Linked DNA regions of Arabidopsis thaliana. The protein of the gene in region 1 interacts with the protein of each later gene in a pairwise test. Each region holds a gene or a part of one and is shown in the gene's direction. Other genes may lie near its edges.

Region 1 (4,694 bases):
GGTTCCATCACAAATTCACGATGAGTAGTATGTATCACGATTACGATCATCTCACGGCTTCAGGGAAGGGCCTGTGGTCGAAGTTCTATGGACTGGTGGATGCGGCGGTTTTGTTATATGATGAGATACAACGTCGTGGCAAGATCGTATCTGAAGAAGAAAGCCAGAAGAGAATATTTTGTCTCTTCCCGAGAAGAAAAAGATCGTCTTTGGTGAAGAGACAACAAAAGCTTAATGGTGGTTTTATCTCTTTTACTTCTTCATCGCTTATCGATCTTAACCAGTTGCCGACTGATTCTGAGATCGAAGACCCACAAACCTCTGATTCCCAGATGAAAACCCTACAAAACTCTAGTTCTGAACCTTGCACTTCACTCGTACTCTTTGATTACAAAACGGCTGAGTCCGAGAAGATGGAGGCGAAAACCCTACAAAACCCTAGTTCTGAACTTTGTTCATCACTCGTACTCTCTGATTACAAGATGGCTGAGTCGGAAAAGATGGAGACGAAAGACCCACCAAACCCTCTGTCTTTGTGCCTAACGGGGAACACAAGCCGCAAGAGACGTGCTGTGGAAGAGAGGAAACGTACCGGTGGATTCAAGAAGGCAAAGGTTGCTCCTTTTCCAGGGACAGCGAGAGATACGCCTAAGTGGCTTGTCAAGGTGATGAGAGACATGAAAGAAGCCAAAGATGCTAAACTGATCTTTGAGAAGACTCTGTTTGTGACTGATATAAACCCAACACAGAACCGTCTCTCAATGCCGTTCAACAACTTACTCCAAAACGATTTCTTGACGTCTGTGGAGTCCAGAATCATAAAGGAAGACATCAACAACAATAAGAAGATTGGAGTGGGAGCGATTCTCGTGGATCAACGGTCTGTAAAGTGGGGTGTGATGTTGAAAAGATGGGAGCTGAAGAAGGAATCAGGAAAAGGAAGCTGGAACTACAATCTGATTTGTGGGTGGAACGATGTCGTTGAGGCTAACGGATTGAAAGAAGGCGACAACATTAGTGTTTGGTCGTTCAGGTGTCGTGGAGTCCTTTGCTTTGCCATGGAACAGAGTAGCTCTTCTCTTGCTCTCTGTCTCTGCTAAGTATCTTATGTCTGTTGTGAGTCTTGTGACTATAACTTGGTTGATTAACACGCACAGTGATTTTCAGGAGATTCTGAAGATTCTTTTGTCTAGTAATTTCTTGAAAGAGTTAAACTAAAGAAACTTGGGTTCCTCTTTCTTCTTAGTAACTTGTTCCTTCTATTGTTTCAGATCATTATAATCGTATGTACTTAGCACTTTTGACATGAATCTGGTTTGTTGTTTGGTCTACTTTAGTTACCTTTCGATTTCTTGTAATATATCTCAAAGTCTAATTTTGTGTGATGACATTGATCCAATTGTGAAAAGGTTACATGTTATGGTACATTCATGAGAAATGCTCAATACAATCAAAACCAGGGTTGTTTTCTACTAAGTGACAGGTTTCTACTAAATGATCAAATCAGGAACAAAATTTGTTGCCAATGACAGGTTTTGCTACAATTGCTTCCTTCTGCCACTTGAATAAGTACGACGTCCTTTAACACAGGGAATGCATTCGTGCTGGCCAAGACACTGCAGAAACTTCCAAGCTGAAACCTGATTATATTTGAATCTCATATCCGAAGTCTGCATTGCTACTATTACTTCACCCTCAAACCATATATATTACATGTGAGAGACATCACGCTCATCTCTTGTCATATTCCAACTAAATTTTTTGTTCGTTTTGCTCACTTAGCAGCCGTTGATGGAAGAAGGAGGAAATTGCAGTGAAGAGGATGAGAAACGATTAGAGAGAAAATGAGAGGAGGATCTCATCAACGCAGGTTTGCCTAGGCACAACTTGGAAGGCTGGTTGAAAAACAGAGATAACTGCAGTAGTGGCTGACCACATAAGCTGTTTTGCTGTTTGCAGCAAAAGCAAGACCATCTTTATCGAAGCCTCCAGGGAATTTTTCGTCGCGGGAAGAACACAATCCTTTCTAGATGATCTGATACAGAATAACAAAAAAACATATGGTGAAGTGATTAGATCGACTTTAGCTAAGACTATCTGAATATAAACCCAGTAAACATATTTGGGCTTTCTCTCGGGTATAAACTTGCTCACCAAATATGCTGAAGTGATTGATTGTTTCGAAGAATGCTAAGGCATCACCTCAAACTCTTGGTTTGTTTCATGGAGAAAAGTTGCTTCTCCTTGTTCTACTTGTCAGTTGTTAGGAAGAATTAGTCAATTTCTCTTCAATGAATCCCTACAAGTTAGACTATTGTGTTGAATAAGTAAAGGAGTTCTGCATGAGTTTATCTCTTTTGTTCCTCCGATACTTTTTACTTCCTCTGAGTAAAAAAAGAGAAGTAAATTTTTACTTCCTCTAAGTGGGTTGGTCTAGTAAATTTTTGTTGGGCCCAAAATTTAAAAAATCAACAAGAAGACAAAAAAAGCCCAAAGATCCGAGTTGGAGTTAAACTGACAAAATCCGAAGCACCAATTAACATTGTTACACTAAACCATGGCGACGCCTTCGCCGACCTCCTCTCCTCCCTCTGATTCAAACCCTAATTCTGCCGCTACTCCGCCGCATCAGAAACAACCACCCTCTCCTCCTCAACCCACGAATCCATCCTCTCCACCACCGCACACCACCGTCGTAGCTTTAGCCGCATCAACCTCCGCCGTCGCCAGAAAAACCCAACCTGTTCTCTGGACTCAAGACGAGACCCTCCTCTTAATCGAATCATACAAAGAGAAATGGTTCGCAATTGGTCGTGGTCCTCTAAAATCAACTCACTGGGAAGAGATCGCCGTTGCTGCCTCATCTCGTTCCGGCGTTGAACGGACATCTACACAGTGTAGGCATAAGATCGAGAAGATGCGTAAAAGATTCCGATCTGAGAGACAGAGTATGGGACCTATCTCAATTTGGCCTTTCTATAATCAAATGGAGGAATTGGATTCTTCAAATCCTGCTCCGATCTCAGCTCGTCCTCTCACTCGTCTTCCTCCTAATTCGAATAATCGCTACGTAGACGACGAAGAAGAAGATGAAGAAGAGGATAACAATAACTACGAAGAAGAGGAAGAAGAAGATGAGAGACAGAGCAAATCGAGGAGTATTAATTACATATTGAGAAGACCTGGAACTGTTAACAGATTTGCTGGAGTTGGTGGAGGATTGTTGTCATGGGGACAAAAAGAGAGATCATCGAAGAGGAAGAGGAACGATGGAGACGGTGGTGAGAGGCGGAGGAAAGGAATGCGAGCCGTTGCAGCGGAGATTAGGGCGTTTGCTGAGAGAGTAATGGTAATGGAGAAGAAGAAGATTGAGTTTGCTAAAGAGACTGTGAGACTTCGTAAGGAAATGGAGATTCGTAGAATCAATTTGATTCAGAGTTCTCAAACTCAGCTTCTTCAATTTATCAACAATGCTTTTGATTCTTTCTAACGTAGAGATTTAGTCATTGTTGCTTTTAGATTTGTAACATAGGTAACGGATTTGAAGAAATGCACTATGTAAGCTAATGTTTATGGGAGTGAAGTGAACTTTTTTTTTAACCATAAAAGAACAATGATACATTCATCAAATTAACCTAAACCTACAAGAGAATAAGTTAGAGGAAAAGGTTAAAAAAGGGCCCTAAGTATATGCCACAAGGATGGAGGAGTAGAGACTTCTATACAAAACATTATAAACTGTTTCTACTCTCTCCCAAACCAAAAGATGGGAAGAAGAAGAGACTACTTCTCTATGATGCAAGTGGGTAATTTACATTATGATATACCTTCTTCTCTTTGTGTTCATCAAAAGAGGCAAAAAGACCTGCATGAATTTTATCCTATCCACCAACTTCTTCCCTATTGATCTCCCTCTGGCCTTACCAAATCTGCAAACTCCACAATCTGTAGAGTTTGTTATGTTATACTCTCAGCCAAATCCAAAGACCACCAGCAGCTTCAAGATGTTAATGCCAAAAAGAGACCCGACTCTGAAGGTGGAGGACACAAACCAGTTTGGGTTCCTGTACAGGGTTGTTGTCGGTAAGGGCCAGCGTTAAGCTTTGCAGGATCTACAGCTACTCAAGGTTCTAGGTTCATCTGTCATGCCTCTCATTCCACTTTTGTATCAGGAGGCTTGGAAGATGATAATTCTTGTGCTTCTTCTAAATGAGGCTGCTCCTCAGAAGCAAGGTGTTTCTGATTTTGTACAGTCGGCTTCTCTGGCAATTTCGGTCTCTTTTCTTCTGAAGGTAGAGACTGTTGTTGTCTCTGTGTAACGCCCTTGATCCCGTGCTTTTGAGCTAGTCCTTGGTTCGGTGTTGATACTGGATCATTTCCTGCTGAATCTGTATTGGAATTGTTTACTACTTTCGAAGCAGTGCTTTGCACAGAAGCAACACAAGATGGAGGTTCCAAAGCAGGCACCGCAGTAGAACCAACTGCTTTTATGTTTTTCAAATCATTACTCGCTTGAGGCATACCCTTGGTCGTACCCATACTAGCAGTTTGGGTGGTATTGGTTACAGACTGTGGAACACGTGGCATACATTCAGCTTGGGACTTCTTTGATAACTCAGAGTTCCCTAGATGATTATGTTGAACAACTCTCTGAGCTGTTGATTGCACTTGATTGCGCTGCTTTTGGTGTATCA
Region 2 (5,861 bases), on another chromosome or scaffold:
AGAATGAAAAAATATGGGTAGCTCGAGATCTGTGATTATGCGTTTACTCACATAGAAATAACATTCATTTCACTGTTGCATTGATCTATAAAAAAAATGCTGGTAGAACAAAACGTTGTACGAAATTAGTAGTGTATAACTTCCTCCACTTCTCCAAACACCAAATCTTGGATCATTCTTAGAGATTTTAATCAAATCATCACTTTCAGAAGACTATTTCTCGGTGAGAAATGATTCTACCCCTTCAAGGTATGATTGTATAGCTTACATGCTTGTTAATCAACAAATGGATTTATTTTTTACTGACATTGATTTTTTCCATACTAAAATCGACAATCAAGGACTTAACCTGTTAAGAGAAAGCTTCTTAGATAACTATTCACATAACTGTATAATATTCTGTTTTTCAAAATTGCATGTAAAGTAAAACAAATAACATATATTGTATTCTTTGTTTCATATATAACTGACTAATTAAGGAGTTCAATTCACTTTGAAAAATGACAAAGAAATAAACTAGCATTTTAACTTGTTGAATAGCCAAACAAAATGCTTTTGGCTTATGATTTTAGAGAATAGACAGTGAAATACAAGTATTGCTCAAACCCAAAAGTATGTATTTTCTCTGATTTTTGTAGTGCTTACAATTAATGATAATGTTACAAGTACTAGACTTTACAAATCTAAGAGACACAAGGGAAGTTTTAGCATTTTTGATCGATTCAATTGAAGTACACGGATATGCAGGTACATATTATGTGTATAATGTAAGAATAGTCTTTGTTGTTGAGTTGCACACAAAAAAAAAAGTCTTGGTTGTTGACTTTCAGAAAGAAAGTAAAGTTAATAATTGATATTTTTTAAAGAGTTGATCATCCGTAGGAGAAATAATTAGTGGTAATTTAAAAATATCTCTTATTATTTACATTAGGAAACCATACTTTGATTATCCTTAGACATGTCTTTATAAAACTCGCATGTTAGATCAGCTTACAATTGTTTAGTATACAACTCTTCAGAACAAAGAGACTCTTGTATTGTGACATTTAAACAAAAATACTTGATTTTTGGAATGATTACCGTCTCAAAATAGTTAGATAATTTTTTTGCTAAAATGATTGCTAAGACTTTAAAATAAAATAAACATAAACTAGAGAAGTGAAACTGTAGTTTTATATAGTTTATAACTATATACAACCGTATATATTTCTCATAGATGTGATCCATGAGATTGTATATGCTCCATTGTAGATACTTGAACTAATAAGAACCATTCTTTTATTAATAATTTTGTTGTCTAACAATTGCTTAAATCTCTGTCAAATTTATAGCCTCTTATCTAGAAAAATGAGATCATAGATATTCATAGTAGGATGTGAGTGGCTCCAATATGTCTTTGAAGAAGTTGTTTAGTGGTAGGAGAAAAATTATTTCAAGACTCTGACTTCATTTCATGAATTATCTATTATTCATATAATACAATTGCTTATGAGTTATCTTGCATCCATTAAAATTTGCTAAACATAGCTAGATCTTCTTGTCGGATACTTCTTCGAGAAAGAATCTTGTTTAATTGGCAATTATCACCAAAATTATATAAGTGGTTGTTGATACACAATCCATTATCAATAACACTAATGATCACATAATCTGTAATTTTTCATTACATTACTCAAAAAAATTCTATTCAAATTTGTAGAAATCTCACAAAAATATAATTTAATAGCAATGTATGGATGATTTTAATTCTCAGTTTACATAAGGAATGAAATTATATATTATGAGTTACATATATATTGTATGCTATGTATCTCTCTAGCACAAAATTAGATTCATAACATATACTATCACCTATTAACATTAATTTATATGTCATACTACATAAATTAATATGCGAAATTATGGATGATGCACAAAACACATTAGTAAGAAAATAAAAATCCCTAAAAAAGTAAGAAGAATCTTTCTTTAATCAAACGAGTCCGAATTTAGGAGAAGTGAACGAATTATAAGGGTTGTCCTGTTGAAACGACTAGTATGAACAAGAGGCGGACCAAACGACATATAAAACGAGCTGACTAATATTGGACAAGCTCGATGGGTTTGAGGACGAGCTAATAGTGCACTCTCTCTATGTCAACATAAAGTGTAGATCTTGTGACAAGACTTGCTATTTTGTATTTATAAGAACCAAGATAGGACATATGTCAAAGTAAATTGGTGGATCTACCTTCCGACCTATTGACATGGTTTCGGCTTTTTATAGACGCTAACTCATCGATTAGGTTTTCTTCCAAACGAATTTTAAGTTGAAAATAGACCCAATTACCTTAATTATTATTGGACATTGTCCATTCCTTGAGTTTATTCCAATTAAAACCTGAATTGGAGGAAGCCCAATTCTTCCCTCAACAACTATGTTACCCATCTCCTCTTAATATATAAATTTTTAAAATATAAAAGATTATTATTAATTAAGAAGTTTACAAACACTTGTCAAACAATAACCATAATAAAACTGGAAAAAGAATATATTATATTCTAGATATTAACCAAAAAGCTTAATATCATTTTCAAACTATTGGTAATTAACTAATTGTTCTTGAAAAATGTAGTGTCTAATTCCGTTTCAAAAAAGCGAGTTAACATTTGGAAGCCTTAACTCTTTTTTTCAAAAAAGTAAAATGAATTGAAATTTGAAATGAGTAAAAAAATCAAAAGCAGAGCCAATAAGATACGTACACGTCATAGCCGACTCTAGCACAAACGGTGTGAAACGAAAATATAAACGTCGCTACAAAAAAAATCGTCGAGACAAACCAAAAAAAAGCCTAAAAAGCCGACCTTTTTTCTTTCTTTCTCTCCTCTACCTCTCAGCTTCTGCTGGATCTCTCCAGCAGACACGATCTTGTTCGGAGAGATTCGTAGGGTAAAGGGTTTCTCTTCTTCTCTATTTTGCTTTCACCTTTATAATCTTTTCTGGGTCTCGATTTTGTTTTCTAATTTCATTTCCATTTCGATTCGATTCCTCCTTTGTGTGGGAGGCCTTTGTTCGGTCAACTTATGTGTTCTGTTTTTGTCTCTTTTTTATTGATTAGGGACCGATCTATCAAGGCTTCAAGGGCAAACAGGTGAATTAGCTTTTGGGATTTGGTTTTATTTAGGGTTCATTTGTAAGCTGTTGATGTGAATTCTTTTTTATGGTTCTCGATTGTTTAATGATTTGATTGTTTGGTTATATTTGCATGTGGGTTTTGTGTGTGTTTGGAAATTTGAATGAATTGATGTGAAAAGTTGTAACTCTTGTTTTTGTTGATTTAAAAGGCTAAGTTTTGAAAATTTTCATTTCTGTGGAGAGAGGTAGTGTTGGATATGAGTGATATTAGCTATGTGGGTTTTGTATGCTTTTGAATTTTGAAATGAATTGCTATGAAAAGTTGTAACCTAAGAAAGGTAGTGTTAGATGGAAATTAGATTAGTATGTGAGTTTTGCATGTTTTAGAAGCTTGAAATGAATTGCTTTGAAAGTTTATAGCTTTACGCTGATATAAGAGGCTAATTTCTAAGTAGTGTTGGATAGAAATAAGATTAGCTGCTCTAATGTTTTTAAAATGATTCATTTATGATTCTAATTTGCCTAATGAATGTGGTACTAGGTGCTAGGTAACCTAGACACTTCTGTTTGGTTGGGTAGCTTATTGTTAGAAAACAGGTCAGCAAGATTTGTTTGTCTGTTTCAGGTTCTAGAGTTAGCAGAGAAATGGCTCTAGGCTTGCTTTTGTTCTCTTCTTTCTATTTAGTTAAAGATCCTGAATTATAGGAAGGTGCTTATAGGTAGTGTGGTTATAAACTATGAAGATCATGTGTAAGGTATCCAGATAAGTTATTTCATGAAAAGAATTGTTCATCTGCTTATTTTCATGTGTATGTTTTGCACTGATTTTCTAAGGCAACTGATGATACTGATTGGGTTTAAATGTACTCATCATCGTGAATCTTCTGCGAATTTTTGTTTTATTTTTCCATGTCACTGAGACTGAAGATGGCTGATTTTAAATGTAGAAATGGACCACGACAAGACAGGATGCCAAAGCCCACCTGAAGGTCCCAAGCTATGTACTAACAACTGCGGTTTCTTTGGAAGCGCTGCCACAATGAACATGTGTTCTAAGTGTCACAAGGATATGTTGTTCCAACAGGAGCAGGGCGCTAAGTTTGCATCTGCAGTGTCTGGAACATCGTCATCCAGCAACATCATAAAGGAAACCTTTACCGCTGCGTTGGTCGATATTGAAACCAAATCCGTTGAGCCGATGACTGTTTCTGTACAGCCATCCTCTGTCCAAGTCGTTGCAGAGGTAGTAGCACCAGAAGAAGCTGCGAAACCAAAGGGACCAAGCCGATGTACTACTTGCAATAAGCGGGTTGGCCTGACTGGATTCAAATGTCGCTGTGGGAGCCTCTTCTGCGGAACACACCGCTATGCAGACGTACATGACTGCTCCTTCAATTACCATGCTGCTGCGCAAGAGGCGATAGCTAAGGCAAACCCGGTTGTGAAAGCAGAGAAGCTTGACAAAATCTGAAAATCTAAGTAAACTTCTCTGGTTTCATCAGGTGGCCTGGTGTTTCCTTCTCCTGTCTGTGTCTGGTTCAAGTATTCTCATGTTAAAAAGGTTTTATATAAGGTCGAATGAAAGCGTGCTTGATCTTTAGCGTCTTCCATCTCTCTGTGGTGTGGAACTTTCTATTATCTGTGTTTGCAAGCAGAGAAACGTGCTCTTAAAAAAAATGCTTTGTGTGTTTATCTTTCTACTATTTTTGAGCACTGTGTTATTGTTTCCTGTTTGGTCTGTATCATATTGAGATTGTCTCTGTAGCTACATGAAGCTTATTTAAAAAGGCCTGTGTTTGTCCTTCAATCAGTGATTCCTTTCAATTTCTCTGGTTGGTGAGTTATGTAACTTTGCAAAGTCATGAGCTTACTATATATGTGTATATATGGGTCGATAAACACTGAAGAGCTCGCTTTTTCCTGTTCTGAGTACGAACGCCCATAACCATAGAAGAAGGAGATGATCGTAAGGAGACAAAAGCTCCAAAGGGTGTCGTCCTCACTTGCTTTACAACATGTCCTATGTGAAAAACCGACGTCGTATCAAGTTGCGTAAGCATCGTATCAACTTGCTCTAAACGGCATCGTAGGAGTTGCTTTAAACGTCACCATACTATATACTAGTTCCTGAGGACATCGTATAAAAATGTTTGGAACTGTTTGGTTCATTGCCTACACAACAAACGGCGTTTTATCTGATTTTACCGGTTTTTTGATGAGTCATCACTGATAGTGATAACTGATGCGCTTTTGCTTCACCGCAACTCCTTCTCAACCGCAACCATTTCACTAGAGACACATGTAACTATCTCAACCGCAAGATTTGGCAAACAATCAAGCGTACGTTCGTTTTCCTCATAAACCCCAGCACCGCATCTTCTACGTACTTATTCCGCTTTCAGTTTTGTTTGATTTCACCAAAATACCAAACAATATTTTTTTTTGTTTTGTTAAAGAACAACAAAAACAAAAATTAAAATAATAATAAATAATAACAAAATAATAGTAATAATTAACAATAAAATTTACTATTTTTTCTTTACTTTTGTTTGATCTCATCATCAAATATAAATACAAGAAATTTTATGATTTTCCATATATTTTTACTTTTTCTAATTGAAGTTTTTCTTCAAATTAATTAAAATATATAGAATATCTAAATAATATATTATTAAACTTACCAATTATTATTTCTTTTTTAATTAGAACAAAATGTCATTGTTAAATATAGATGAAAATCAACTCT
Region 3 (6,500 bases), on another chromosome or scaffold:
AGTAAGGCGTATGATAGAGTGGAGTGGAATTTTTTGGAGACAACGATGAGACTATTTGGTTTCAGCGAGACATGGATCAAATGGATAATGGGAGCAGTGAAATCAGTCAACTACTCAGTTTTAGTGAATGGCATACCTCATGGCACAATTCAACCACAACGTGGAATAAGACAAGGAGATCCCTTATCTCCATATCTCTTCATTCTATGTGCTGATATACTCAACCATCTTATTAAAAACAGAGTAGCGGAAGGGGATATTCGAGGTATCCGAATTGGTAATGGTGTTCCTGGTGTTACTCATCTACAATTTGCGGATGACTCTCTTTTTTTCTGCCAATCTAATGTCCGAAACTGCCAAGCTTTAAAGGATGTCTTTGATGTTTATGAGTACTATTCGGGCCAAAAAATTAATATGTCCAAATCAATGATAACGTTTGGTTCACGAGTACATGGCACCACTCAAAATCGTCTCAAAAACATTCTTGGTATACAAAGTCATGGTGGAGGTGGGAAATATCTTGGGCTCCCGGAGCAATTTGGGCGGAAAAAACGAGACATGTTCAACTATATCATTGAAAGAGTAAAGAAACGAACATCCAGTTGGAGTGCGAAATATTTATCACCGGCAGGAAAAGAAATTATGTTAAAATCAGTGGCGATGTCGATGCCGGTGTATGCAATGTCTTGCTTCAAATTACCATTGAATATCGTTTCGGAGATTGAAGCTCTTTTAATGAATTTCTGGTGGGAAAAGAATGCAAAAAAAAGAGAAATACCATGGATAGCTTGGAAGAGATTACAATACTCGAAAAAGGAAGGTGGTTTAGGGTTTAGAGATTTGGCTAAATTCAATGACGCTTTACTTGCAAAACAAGTATGGCGGATGATTAACAACCCAAATTCTTTATTTGCCCGAATAATGAAAGCAAGATACTTTAGAGAAGACTCTATTCTGGACGCTAAAAGGCAGAGATATCAATCTTACGGATGGACTTCTATGCTTGCGGGTTTAGATGTAATTAAAAAAGGAAGCAGATTCATTGTCGGAGATGGCAAAACCGTTTGAATCAGTCAAGATAATTTTATTGCATCGCACCCTCCACGACCTCTCAACGTCGTCACTCCTACGTTGGATATCACGGTGGATACGTTAATCTCAACTCAGGGTTCGTATAGGTATTGGAACGCACATCTCATTTCTCAGCTTGTTAGTCCCGACGACCACCGTTTTGTTATGAACCATCATCTTTCCAGGATTGTGCATCAAGATAAGCTAGTTTGGAACTACTCTTCTTCTGGGGATTATACAGTTAAGTCCGGGTACTGGTTTCTCTTTAATGACCCAACGAATATTTAGGTTAGACCAGTGGTGCCTCATGGTTCAGTGGAAATTAAGAACAAGCTTTGGAAACTCCCTATTATTCCAAAAATCAAGTACATGCTTTGGCGTACAATCTCAAAAGCATTACCAACACGCTCGCGACTTCTCACTCGAGGAATGGACATCGATCCACACTGCCCCAGATGCCCAACTGAAGAAGAGACGATAAACCATGTTTTATTTACGTGTCCTTATGCTGCGTCAATTTGGGGTCTATCAAACTTCCCTTGGTTACCGGGTCATACTTTCTCTCAAGACACAGAGGAGAATATTTCTTTCCTTATCAATTCTTTTTCAAACAATACTCTGAATACAGAGCAAAGGTTGGCCCCATTTTGGCTCATATGGAGATTATGGAAAGCACGCAATAATCTTGTGTTTAATAAGTTCAGTGAAAGTTGCTCAAGGGTTGTGACACAAACTGAAGCAGAAGTCAATGAATGGTTACAAAGTGTGAACCGAAGAGAGGACGCTTCCGTTTTAACACGATCATCACACAGGGCAAACGTGCGGTGGAAGAAACCGGTCTTTCCTTTAGTAAAGTGCAACTTCGATGCGGGTTTCACGGGTAATAATACTCAGAGTACGGGAGGGTGGATCATACGTGATCATGCAGGATTAGCGAAGGCTTGGGGATCATCAATAGTCTAAAATGGTACCACTGCTTTGGAAGCTGAGACAAAAGCGTTATTAATCGCAATGCAACAAGCATGGGTACGAGGGTATAAGTGTGTTCAGTTCGAAGGTGATTGTGAGATCCTTATCAAGGCAATTAATGGTGCAATTTCTAGATGTGAAATAACCAGTCTTCTCCGAGATGTGGATTTTTGGGCATCAAGATTTTCTACTGTGGTTTTCACTTTCACAAATAGACTCTGTAATAATACTGCTCACCTCTTAGCTTCTCCACTTTATTCGTGTTACAAGTTTCAATCGAATTCTGGTTATCAGCCACTTTGGCTCAAAAACTCTCTTTGTAAAGATTTACTCATATAAATAAATTCTGTTTGTTGGAAAAAAAGAAAAAAAAAAAACCTACATTCTAAATACTGAAACCATAAACCATATGGTAAAAAGTGGATAAATGCTCAACTATCTCCATTTCAATATACACATCATAAAAAAGATTTATATTCAATTTATTGTAAAATGAAAACTTAGATTGCATTACTTTTTTTAACTCTCTTCTCTAATTTAATTTACTATCTAAATTTGTGAGTTCATAAAATTTTAGATTGAGAACAATTCATCAGAAATTCTGATTCAGAACAGTACAAATCTTGTCATGCAAACTTATCTATCTTGTAAAATCTATCTATCACTTGTCGTCACTAAGTACAAAATCTATTTTAGTTTGTTTTTTTTGTGTGTAAGAAAAGTTTTTTTATTTAATAATCTATCACCAATATTTTCCAACACAACATGACCGTTATCTCCTCCAATCTAAAACTTAATTACGAAACTACCCTTACCTCTTTCACTGACTGACTCGTCTCCTTCTCCACTTGGATCTCAAAAGTCCGATCCAAAACCAAATCCGCCATAACTCTCTCTCTCTCTCCCACTTCCCACAGAGAGACACATTCATGCCAGCAATGCCAGGTCTCGTCTCAGTCAAAACTCCTTCCGATACACCGCCGCTACGTGTAGCCGTACCAGACACGCAACCTCTCTCAAACCCGCCGCGAACTCCGATGAAGAAAACCCCTTCCTCTACACCATCTCGATCCAAACCATCACCAAATAGATCCACCGGCAAAAAAGATTCCCCAACCGTATCCTCCTCCACCGCAGCCGTAATCGACGTCGACGATCCATCTCTAGATAATCCAGATCTCGGTCCTTTCCTTCTAAAATTAGCTCGTGACGCTATTGCTTCTGGTGAAGGTCCTAACAAAGCATTAGATTACGCGATCCGAGCAACTAAGTCCTTTGAGAGATGTTGCGCCGCCGTTGCTCCGCCTATTCCCGGTGGTAGCGATGGTGGACCTGTTCTTGATCTCGCTATGAGCCTTCATGTTCTCGCTGCTATTTACTGTAGTCTCGGCCGATTTGATGAAGCTGTACCACCTCTTGAACGAGCTATTCAAGTCCCTGATCCGACTCGTGGCCCTGACCACTCTCTCGCTGCGTTTTCTGGTCATATGCAACTTGGTGATACGTTGTCTATGCTTGGTCAGATTGATAGATCTATTGCTTGTTATGAAGAAGGTCTTAAGATCCAGATCCAGACTTTGGGTGATACTGATCCACGAGTTGGTGAAACTTGCAGGTTCTCTTAACTAAGCATTTAATGGTTAATTAAACTCTTAGATTACGTTTGCTAAAAGTTACTATATAGGTTAGATCTAAGTTTCTGAAGTCTCTGATAATTTTCAGGTACTTAGCAGAAGCATATGTTCAAGCAATGCAGTTCAATAAAGCGGAAGAGTTATGCAAGAAGACTCTAGAGATTCACCGAGCGCATAGTGAACCTGCTTCACTGGAGGAAGCAGCTGATAGGAGATTGATGGCAATTATCTGCGAGGCTAAAGGAGATTATGAAAACGCTCTTGAGCATCTTGTTCTTGCTAGTATGGCTATGATTGCGAGTGGACAAGAATCTGAGGTTGCATCGATTGATGTTAGTATTGGGAATATTTACATGTCGCTGTGCCGGTTTGATGAAGCTGTGTTTTCATATCAGAAGGCTCTTACTGTGTTTAAGGCTTCTAAAGGAGAGACTCATCCGACGGTTGCGTCAGTGTTTGTTAGATTGGCTGAGCTTTACCATAGAACAGGGAAACTTCGTGAGTCTAAGTCTTACTGTGAGAATGCGTTGAGGATATACAATAAGCCGGTGCCTGGGACAACTGTGGAGGAGATTGCTGGTGGATTAACTGAGATTTCTGCTATTTATGAGTCTGTAGATGAACCTGAGGAAGCATTGAAGCTACTTCAGAAGTCTATGAAATTGCTTGAGGATAAGCCAGGACAGCAGAGCGCCATTGCAGGTAAATTTTTTGTCCATACCATGAATGTTCCTTTAGCTGGATTGCTATGCAGTGTATTGAAATTGTGCGATTTTGGTCTCGAATTGTATGTAAAGTACTGATTTTTGTATTGTTAATCATGTAAGGAAAAGTCGCTTATAGTAACTTTACTCGTTTTGCTGCTCTGAATCTACCGGTTTTAGAGTTAGCCAATACGCTAATTTGTAATTGTGTGTTAGTGATATTGTCGAAGAATTCTAGAAATAAGAGATCTAATTACTTATCTGAGGTATTTTTAGGGAAGTAGATTGTGATCGTACAAGAATTCGAGTCTTTAGCATGACATTGTCAATCTTCTCGTCAAGCTTCCTTTACATCTGTTTTGCTTTGTATGTAAATATTTGCAGGGTTAGAGGCACGGATGGGAGTTATGTATTACACAGTGGGGAGGTACGAGGACGCAAGAAACGCGTTTGAGAGCGCTGTGACAAAGCTACGGGCAGCAGGTGAGAAATCTGCCTTCTTCGGTGTTGTATTAAACCAGATGGGACTAGCCTGCGTTCAGCTTTTCAAGATTGATGAAGCGGGTGAGCTGTTTGAAGAAGCAAGAGGTATTCTTGAACAAGAACGTGGACCGTGCGATCAGGACACTCTCGGTGTTTATAGCAATCTAGCTGCTACCTATGACGCTATGGGAAGGTAAAGTCCTAAAGAAAACTATCTGACTATGTAATTAGATCAGACATCCTTAATGAAACATTAAAGTCTTTCTTCGTGATGGCTATGTAATTTGCAGGATAGAGGATGCGATTGAGATATTAGAGCAGGTTCTGAAGCTGAGAGAGGAAAAGCTCGGGACTGCGAATCCGGATTTTGAAGACGAGAAGAAACGTTTGGCCGAGCTTTTGAAGGAAGCTGGGCGGTCGCGGAACTACAAAGCCAAGTCGCTCCAGAATCTGATTGATCCAAATGCAAGACCTCCGAAGAAAGAGTCTTCTGCTAAGAAATGGCCCAGCCTCGGTTTCAAGTTCTGAGGAAAAAATTATCATATAAAATAAATCATCCACATATATATTCAATATTTTATTTTATTGTTATTGTTATATTTTTTATCTGATCTATTTTCTGTATCATAATCTGAGGTTGATGAATTAATTTCATGTATAGTGTTTTTATTTGAGTTTGGTGAAATACTGCCAAGATGGTGAGCTGTTTGTTTGAGTTTGAAATTTCTTTAATTCAATCACTTTTTTCTTCTTCTGATAATTATATTTTCTCGTGAATGTTTGTTCTACGTGATATTTTGTACAAATATGAAGTAAAATACTAAAATGTGATAAAATCTATCACTAAATGCATTTTGAAAACTATTTATTGGATGTATCCTTTAATATTTTGTGCATTCATGTCTTGTCTTTTTATCGTAAACAGTTGTATCTGTTAAAATATTGGGGGTATTTTTTTACAATCGTGTCTTTTCATCGAAAACAGTTGTGTCTGTTAAAATATTGATGGTTACTTTATTACATTCGTATTTTTTTAATCATAAACAGTTGTGTCTGTTAAAATATTGATGGTTACTTTATTACATTCGTATTTTTTCATCATAAACAGTTGTGTCTGTTAAAATATTGACGATTATTTTTTTTACAACCGTGTCTTTTCATCATAAACAGTTGTGTCTATTAAAATATTAACAGTTACTTTCTACATTCGTGTCTTTTCATCATAAATAGTTGTCTGTTAAAAGATTGACGGTTACTTTTTTTACATTCGTATATTTTTATCGTAACTTTTGGTTAACATTGAAAGTTATTTTTTTCGTTAATGTCTTTTTATCGCAACTTCTCGTAAAACTGATTTTCATCGTAAACAGTTGTGTTTGTTAAAATATTGACGGTTACTTTTTTTTCATTCATATCTTTTTATCGTAAACAGTTGTGTCGATTAGAATATTTACGGTTTTTTTTTTTTTACATTCGTGTCTTTTTATCTTTATTTTTGGTTAATATTGACGGTCCTTTTTTTCATTAGTGTCTTTTTATCGCAACTTTTCGTAAAATTGTATTTTTATCGTAAATTGTGTCTGTTAAAATATCGATGGTTATTTTTTTACATTCGTGTCTTTTCATCATAACTTTTTGA

Evidence for each region.
Region 2: the proteins of AT3G24860 (region 1) and AT1G51200 interact in a two-hybrid assay, tested with the Arabidopsis thaliana proteins (one large-scale study listed by BioGRID).
Region 3: the proteins of AT3G24860 (region 1) and KLCR1 interact in a two-hybrid assay, tested with the Arabidopsis thaliana proteins (one large-scale study listed by BioGRID).

What each region holds. Positions count from the first base shown.
Region 1 is NC_003074.8:9,071,085-9,075,778, forward strand, and holds AT3G24860 (Homeodomain-like superfamily protein), read left to right. Parts: upstream 1-2,538; 5' UTR 2,539-2,557; coding exon 2,558-3,490; 3' UTR 3,491-3,598; downstream 3,599-4,694. Other genes in the region: AT3G24850 (B3 domain protein (DUF313)), read left to right, coding at 21-1,100; AT3G24870 (Helicase/SANT-associated, DNA binding protein), read right to left, coding at 4,153-4,694.
Region 2 is NC_003070.9:18,981,626-18,987,486, forward strand, and holds AT1G51200 (A20/AN1-like zinc finger family protein), read left to right. Parts: upstream 1-2,655; 5' UTR 2,656-2,929; exon of another isoform or gene 2,930-3,098; 5' UTR 3,099-3,131; intron 3,132-4,062; 5' UTR 4,063-4,064; coding exon 4,065-4,586; 3' UTR 4,587-5,009; downstream 5,010-5,861. UniProt on the Arabidopsis thaliana protein: May be involved in environmental stress response.
Region 3 is NC_003075.7:6,653,645-6,660,144, forward strand, and holds KLCR1 (Tetratricopeptide repeat (TPR)-like superfamily protein), read left to right. Parts: upstream 1-2,729; 5' UTR 2,730-2,969; coding exon 2,970-3,655; intron 3,656-3,762; coding exon 3,763-4,376; intron 4,377-4,762; coding exon 4,763-5,054; coding exon of another isoform or gene 5,055-5,058; exon of another isoform or gene 5,059-5,151; coding exon 5,152-5,389; 3' UTR 5,390-5,621; downstream 5,622-6,500.